2 linked regions of the Nothobranchius furzeri genome follow. The protein of the gene in region 1 purifies or fractionates together with the protein of each later gene. This does not show direct contact. Links are inferred from orthologs where the notes say so. Each region holds a gene or a part of one and is shown in the gene's direction. Other genes may lie near its edges.

Region 1 (3,921 bases):
GATCTCGTTCTCGCTCCCAGAAGTCTAAATCTCGTTCACCCTCTCACAAGTCTCGTTCTCGTTCAGCTGACCGCAAATCTAAGTCTCGCTCTAAAAGTCGTTCCAAGGTAAAGTCTGAACGGGATTCCCGTAGTAGGTCGAAGGAAAGGTCCAGTGACAAGAAGTCCCGCAGCCGTTCAGTGTCCCCTGTTGAAAATGGAAAAGCAGAGCGTGCCACCAAGTCTGCGTCCCGCTCCCCATCACCACGAGATGGGGGTCGCCGGTCAAAGTCCAGGGAGAAGCGTTCCGCATCTCGTTCAGTGTCCCGCTCTAGGTCTCGCTCTCGGTCCAGATCAGCCTCTCAGGAATAGAGAAGGGGGGTGGTTTTCTTTTTTAAGCTTGGTTATCAAACTGTACATAGTGAGCTGTGTTGTGTAATTACTGGTCTATGCTTTGACTTCTTTTCTCCATGTATGCGTTTACCTTGCTGATTTGCTCTAGGCTTGTGTATCCTGGGCAGCCCTGTAGTGTTGAGATACGCCTCCTTAAATCATAAACAACAGTTCTGAAAACCTTTTGGGTCTTCCAGCCACAATCTGAGATGTCAGTTGTCCTGAGCTAAACATTTAGTCTTGTTTCAGGTGGTTCTTTTTCCCTACATCAGTTTACTTTCATTAAAAAGTGTTTTAGTGAAAACTTGTCTATGAATTTTGTGTTCCACAGCTCCCCCTTGATGTTTACCACACTTTTAAGCTTTCTCGTTTTGTTCATTAAACTAGAACTGATGTTTCATTCCCATTTATTAAACAAATTAGGTGGGTGGTATACATTTAGCCCCCAGCAAGTTTTTCTTTCTCAAGAATTTATTTAATCAGTATTTTTCAGAGGCTGTAGCTTATTTTCTCCACATATTTGCAATCAAAGTATTTCACCTCTGAGCGGCTTGCGTCACAGTTAAGTTATCCTTTATAACTTTCCATGAATGGGACATCCGACGACTTTTAAAAGATGACTTAAGGGTTTTTTTTGTTTGTTTCGTTTAAGTTTTGGTAGTTTTTTTTTTTTCTTCCAGCTCCTGGTTATTTTTGCTCCTTTAACCTGAGGTTTGTAGGGTCAAACTTTTGTATATTTGAAGAGTGCTCCTTGTACTTGAGGTGGAAGGAGGAATTTATTCAAATCAGGCTAGTTTGTCTGCAGTGTCATTGTCTTCTGCAACAGATTTCCTCCTATGATTGAGATTGGATAAAAAAAATTGTACGTTCAATTAAACGAGACTACAAAATGAGTGGTTTGGTGTCTGTTAATCAAGTCTATACTGTATTGCCATGACCTATATCCTGCTAATTATATAAGTGCTGTCATTGGGGTCTAATGGGGGGTGGGCTTGAACCGTGACTGGGATTCTAAATAGGAATAAATTATTTATGAACCATCAAAATAACTTAATAGCGTAATGATTTGCAAAAAGAAAATGTTTTGGCATTTAAAAATGTTCAGTGACTGTTGGCTGTGCGCATGCGCACTCAAAAGCCTCCGCGCCGCAGGAGATCAGAGCTGGTAAGACAATTTTCAGTTCATGGGAAAATCTAAAAACGCGAATTTTCTCTTCCTACATCACTTTTATACAATAATCTGAGAGAAGGATTCTTGCCATGCGGCTTTTTGCGTTTAAATGTACACACATTTTATTCTAAGACAACATTTCCCAGCGGATGTATTCAGCCACAAAGCTTTTTGATCTTTAGATGCCATTTCGTTTAAGACGTGATTATTTTGCGTTGACAAGTGTTAAATTTAGATGACCGCGCTGCGTGTTTGACTACCAGAATAAGCAACTCGCTCCACGGTTAGAATAAAGCTCCTTCACCAGAGACGATGGCGGAATTCATAACGAGGTTAAATGCTTTACTGAGGCGCTTCCACATGGACAGAAAGATTGCTTTTACACATTTTTATTATGGCCTCTTAGATTTCAGATCCTCCGCCATTTTCACTAAAATGCTATATTTTTGTGCGTGCGTGTGTTGAAAGGCTTGCGCGTAAATATTGGTGTGTCACCATTGTTGCCTGCTTTCATTGGAGGTAATGGATGGTTGTTGGAAAGTCACTTTGACGCTGATGTTTTGCTTTAAAAAAATCAAAAGTGCGGCTGTAAAACTGTAATTAAATCTCTGTAAATATAATTTGTTATATTCCATTTAAACTACAATGATGCTCTCCCTACTGTCATTGTTTTCACATTTGGTTTCTTAGCACAAAGTAATAACAGGGATCACAGTATGAGTGCCAAAGTGAACATGGAGGCTCCATCCAAAGACCCAGACTGCACCCCCATTGACCCATCCGCCTCATCCACCACTGAGACCATCCTCATCTGCAGCAGTGACAGCTTGGCCAAGAAGCCTCGGCCCCAGATGCACAACACCACAACCCTCCTGCTGCCAGGTGAGCTTAGGTCTGAGACTCAAGGGAAAACCATGACATGAGAAAGAGAAGTGTCTAAGCTCATCTAATGATTGGCCAGTGTAATATTCTGAAGCTGGGTCTACAAATTAAAAAGCAGCAAAAACAGAAGAAAAAAAAACGAACACTTTTCCAGGTCTGTGAACTCACCATCAATTCACCCTAGCAACAAGCCTTTTTTGTAGAGGTTTTTTTTCTGGCCAGAATAATAACTTTCAAGTTTATTTTAGCATCTTAAAGGAATTCTATGCTGTTGATTGTAAATCTTTGAGAAATCATACCACAAATTAGTATCGGCTTTCAGAACCAGAGTCAGTGCATCCCAAATATAAATGCCCTTCCTCTTCTCTGATCTGCTTTAAATGATGGTTTAAAACTCTGATAATAAACAATTTAATATACTTTATAATCATTGCTACTTAAAATGATCTTGACAACTCGTTTCATATATATGATTGTTCTCAACCCCAGCTGATTTATCCTTTGATTTAGTTTCAAATGCGTAAACAAGATTGCACAAAAAGTTGATTTTATTTTAGACTAATGAGTTGGGGTGTTGATGTGTTGCTTTCAGCAGCTCCCGGCCACCAGAAAGTGGAGGTGACCCCGGCCGTTGCCGTGGGAAACCCGGGTAAAGGCAGCAGACCAAACGAGTTGGCTACATCCACTTTGACGGCGCAGGTAGGCGGGGCTTGTAGCATTGTCCACGTCCTGGAGTGGAAGGAGGGAATGGCCATCCTGCCCAGTAGCAACCTTAAGGTACGAGCACACCTCTGATCTGATGAAGGAGGTTATAATCAGGTCACAGACACATTCTCATTTAGAATGTTTACTAAAGTGCTTTTAGAGGTTATTTAGAAGTTAGAACATTGTAGAAATTCATAGAGTCATGTTTGTTTCTGTCTGTGTGTAGTTTTGTGTGAGTGACGTAGGAACTCTGAGCACCCTGATAACCTCAGGGACCACCAGCAGCGCCATTGACCCAACGGCAGGGACTTCTGGGAAATCCACTGATCCAGAAAATGCTCCAGACAGGCCAAGTGAGAGTCATGTTTTTGGAAGGTTGCAGTAGCTCCAGGGAACAAGGACAATGCATGCATGTAGCTTAAATACTCATCACACACACACATTAAAAGGTATTTTATAATGCAATTACACTTGTGTTTTATTGTTTTGAAAGAAAATCGAGGACGTTGGGTTTTGCGGGTGTCCTCTTAGTGTGATTTGCTTTAAATTTGAGGAATTTTCCACTTTTTGGTGATCCACAAAAAGTGCAGATGAGTGGTCCTCACGTCAGCTGCATCATTTTAAATACATCCAACACTGGGAGGAAGTAAAAGTCTCATAAATCTGATTGACAGATGTGTTTGCTCCTGCTGGGACCGTGAGAGCTGCGTTGGTGGAACCAGAAAAGTTGATACTGGTCAAACCTGAAGTTCAGGTCGGATCAGATCAGCAGAACCATGATCCCAGAACACA
Region 2 (3,821 bases), on another chromosome or scaffold:
CAAATTGGATGAGTCCATGAATACTAATTTTCCCTGAGGACTGGCTTTTTTTGACCCGAACGTTTTCCCGTCTTTTTCCTTTGTGCGGTCAACGCAGGCGATGGGGGTTGAAGAATATTTTCACATTCAGCATGCATATTCAACTCAGCGTGATAGATTGTATTTCAAAAAGTACAAGTCTTATACGCATCTCAGTGAACAAGATGTTTAAATTTACAATAAAAAAATACTCTTAATAATTTGACACTCAGATTAGTTTCATGGCACCAATGAAGCTGCAAAAGCAATTGTACAGAACAAGCGAGCTTCAAATGCGAACGCTGCAACGAACACTCTCCCCTCCTGTCGGCTGGCATCCCTGCAGCACGTCCGCCAGAACCAAAAACCCAACTTGACAGAGGAAATGGGAGAGCGCTACACACCAGTCACTGTTTTCTAGGTCCAAACGTCTTTTGTTGACCGTGACTTCAATTGGTGGTTTTCTTTTTAGTTTGTCCTTAAGTTGAAGCTGTGGCAGCCGGCTGTTTCTCTAATACTATTGAGCCGTGAACCTCCCACGTGTGGTGTTCTGATGCAAAATGCACAAGCGCCTAATGAGTGGAGGCCCCAGATGGTTTGGTGAGACAGACAACCGGATGGTCCAGTGGTTGGGTTTGGTCCGAGCTTTGTTATCGGTGGAGATTTTTAGACAAATGCGAGAGAAAAACTTAATTATTACAATTTTTTTTTTCAATCGCCACAAAATATTTATAGACGTATTATGTTAGAGCGTTGTTTCGAGGCATGAAAAAAAAACCGTTTTAAGCTAGCTTGTTTTCCAAATTAGCCATTGTAGCTTTGAGGCAACTTCTGATGAGTTATATGCTGAAAACTTAGCTTCTATAACTAAATCACTGATGTCATGAACTGCTACAGCTGTGTTGGTGATGTCGTTCTGTTTCCCTCCATGTTTGATCAGAAAATGTGATGTTTTTCTCAGCCAAGCTGAAGACTACATTACAGCTGGAGCCTGTATGGCATTAGGGTTACGCTTTGCCGGCTCCGCCAATTCTGATGCCTTCGACTGCCTTTATGAGTTTGCCAGGACCTTCATGAAGATGATGCCCTTTGCTGGTACAGCTGCTGTGAGTGCTGTACGTGCGTCCCCCCCCCCCCCCCCCCCCCCATCTTCCTTAACTAACTCTAAAAGTTATGAAGATATGTGAATCGTTTTATCTGTTGAGATGTTTACATGTCTTGCTCTTCTCTGTCACGTGTTATAGTCCCTCCAGCAGATGGGTTATTACAACCTGCAAACATGTCTGTCAATGATTCTGCTGGCTATGTCCATGGTGATGGCAGGCACGGGAAACCTGAAGGTCCTGCAGCTCTGTCGCTTCTTTCACAAGAGAACGGGCGGCGAGATGAACTATGGCTTCCACATGGCTCATCACATGGCTCTGGGTCTGCTCTTTCTGGGAGGTGGCAGGTAAGAAAACATTTGTACATGGACAGGGTGTTTTTTTCAACATCAGAAGAAAATACATGCTACCCAGACTTTCCACTGGGTGCGTAAGCAGCGCAAAACGTAGTAGAGACCCTATTTTCTTTACCACAAAGACACAAATTGGCAGCTAGAGCGTTCTGCACTGCCAGCCCTGCAAGGTCACAAAATCACCGGAGAATCACAAGTTCACATGATAAGCAAGGAGAAAGATGGCAGCATGTATCCAAAAGTCTGTGGTTTATTTTTTGTTCTTTTTGCCTCTGCTACAGGTTTTACTGGAAAGGATGTACTTAAAAAAAAAATATATATATATATATATATATATATATATATATATATTTATATATATATTACTAATTAAGCAACTGGAAATCTGCTGGGGTCTCATTCATCAAACATTGCGTAGAATCCTTACTAAAGCCGCACTTAAGCTTAGCAAAAGAAATTTACTTACGCCAAGTAGGTTTGTGATCTATCAAACATGGAGTACGCACAGCTGCACGCAATCTCCGCTTCATAAATCAGAAACTATCTAGAAAGGTTCTCAGCTGCTTTTTAGTCACATCCCGCCCTCACCACGCCCACTTACTGCCATGAATAGTCAATGCAAAGTGGCGTGTGAATCTCATGCATGTACATAAGCCGGCTGTTGCAGCGCTCCGCCAATGACATGCCGACCGTAGATCAAGGCAGATCAAGGAAGCGCAATTTCACAAGCAGAAATTGAGGTACTTGTGGGTGAGGTGGAGAAATGAAAGGAAGTGCTTTTGCAAAACAAATAAGAGAAAATCCACAGAGTGGCACAACGTTGCTAAAGCCGTCAATGCTGTGAATTCTTCAGAGAGATCTGTGGCGGATGTAAAAAATGGTCCAACCGGGATTCGATCCCCAGACTCTCGGGTGAAAGTCATGTGTGCTAACCAGTCAGCCAAACGGAGATCTCCCTTGTCCAACTAGCCAGGGCACATGATCAATCGGGTCACAGTGACAGGACACACACTGTCACAGACGCATGTCATTCTGTCTCAATCTGTCCCCCTGCTGATATTCTGCATTCTGGCTTCAGGCTGTGTGTGTGTGTGTGTGTGTGTGTGTGGGGGGGGGGGGGGGGGGGGGGGGGGTCTTGTTCTGTGTGAAAACGAAGCAGTACAAGTGATAAAGCTGCAGGATTTCATAATTTTATCCTTCTCAGCAACAGCACTGCAGGTGCTCTCCATGTCCAAAATGTGTGTAAGCCAGGTCCTTAGTCAACTTAAAGTTGCGCACATTTTTCTGCAAAGTTTTCTTTCATAAATCCCAAAGTTAGCGTGGAAAGTTGCTTACACAGTTTTCAGATGCCGTTTTGTGCGTAAGCAAGCTTGATAAATTAGGCCCCTGGTCTTTTACTTAGGAATTTGCTGGTTTTACACAACTTTTGTGTTTGATTTCTTGTCTGGCCAAATCAAAAGTGTTTGCTTGACTCATCCTGGAAGTGTAGTGTGTAAAATAAATAAATAAATAAATAAATTCACGAATCATAAATGTTGCATAGCGATGCAACAATTCCCCTCTAGGACGCATCCAAGATGTCCGATTGTGCCCGGTTGAAACACACCCGCTGACTACAGCAACAGCTATCTGCTACGTTTTATGTAACAAATACACATCCAGTGGAAAGCCGGGGTTAGGTTTTGGAAACACAAGCTGCTTTTATTCACTTTTCTTCTTGACTTTATTGAGGAATCTTCTAACATTTTGTGATTTCACATAACTTACACCTCAGTGTTAATTGAACTTACGGATGCATTTGTTGGTTAAGTCACCTCACCTGCTCCAGGTTTTGTTTCATCTTGTTCTTTCTATAAATTCCACAAGATGCTCAGTTGACTTTTCCTCGTCCGAGGCAAACCTTTATTGAACACTTAATCAGACATGTGTGTCTATCTCTCACCCTCCGGTGTTACACTCTCTAGACTCCGGGCGGAACACACGGTTAAGAGCAATTCTCATTGCTACAGGTTTGTTCTTCTTAAACCCAAATGAAAACACTTTTAGTGTCTTAATCTTTTTGGAAGCAGACTACATGTACACTCACATCATTTGACTGCTGCATGTACGCGCGCACACACACACGCACACGAGTCTTTGAGTGTGGTGTTGTACATACCATTATCTACAGACTCTAACTAGATCCTCAGCTTCCTGCCCTTGACCTATTATCAGCTAAACGACTCGGTTTCTCTAATGTGACATTACACACGTGTCACCAGCTGTAGCAATAATTAAACTGACCTTTTGATTTCATTCACACATTGTAATATTTTAAATTTGCCAGCCTATGACCCGCACTGCTGCA

What was found.
Region 2: the proteins of l3mbtl1 (region 1) and anapc1 purify together in Homo sapiens (affinity purification with mass spectrometry; 4 studies listed by BioGRID and IntAct, counting the BioPlex papers as one, with this or other methods). This does not show direct contact. The link is inferred for Nothobranchius furzeri from reciprocal best matches to the Homo sapiens genes L3MBTL1 and ANAPC1.

What each region holds. Positions count from the first base shown.
Region 1 is NC_091755.1:32,903,854-32,907,774, forward strand, and holds the start of l3mbtl1 (lethal(3)malignant brain tumor-like protein 1), read left to right. Parts: upstream 1-1,374; 5' UTR 1,375-1,536; intron 1,537-1,542; exon of another isoform or gene 1,543-2,061; intron 2,062-2,232; 5' UTR 2,233-2,258; coding exon 2,259-2,424; intron 2,425-3,016; coding exon 3,017-3,201; intron 3,202-3,355; coding exon 3,356-3,482; intron 3,483-3,803; coding exon 3,804-3,921. Other genes in the region: srsf6a (serine and arginine rich splicing factor 6a), read left to right, coding at 1-350. UniProt on the Homo sapiens protein: Polycomb group (PcG) protein that specifically recognizes and binds mono- and dimethyllysine residues on target proteins, thereby acting as a 'reader' of a network of post-translational modifications.
Region 2 is NC_091752.1:26,818,813-26,822,633, forward strand, and holds part of anapc1 (anaphase-promoting complex subunit 1), read left to right. Parts: intron 1-958; coding exon 959-1,133; intron 1,134-1,262; coding exon 1,263-1,468; intron 1,469-3,821. UniProt on the Homo sapiens protein: Component of the anaphase promoting complex/cyclosome (APC/C), a cell cycle-regulated E3 ubiquitin ligase that controls progression through mitosis and the G1 phase of the cell cycle.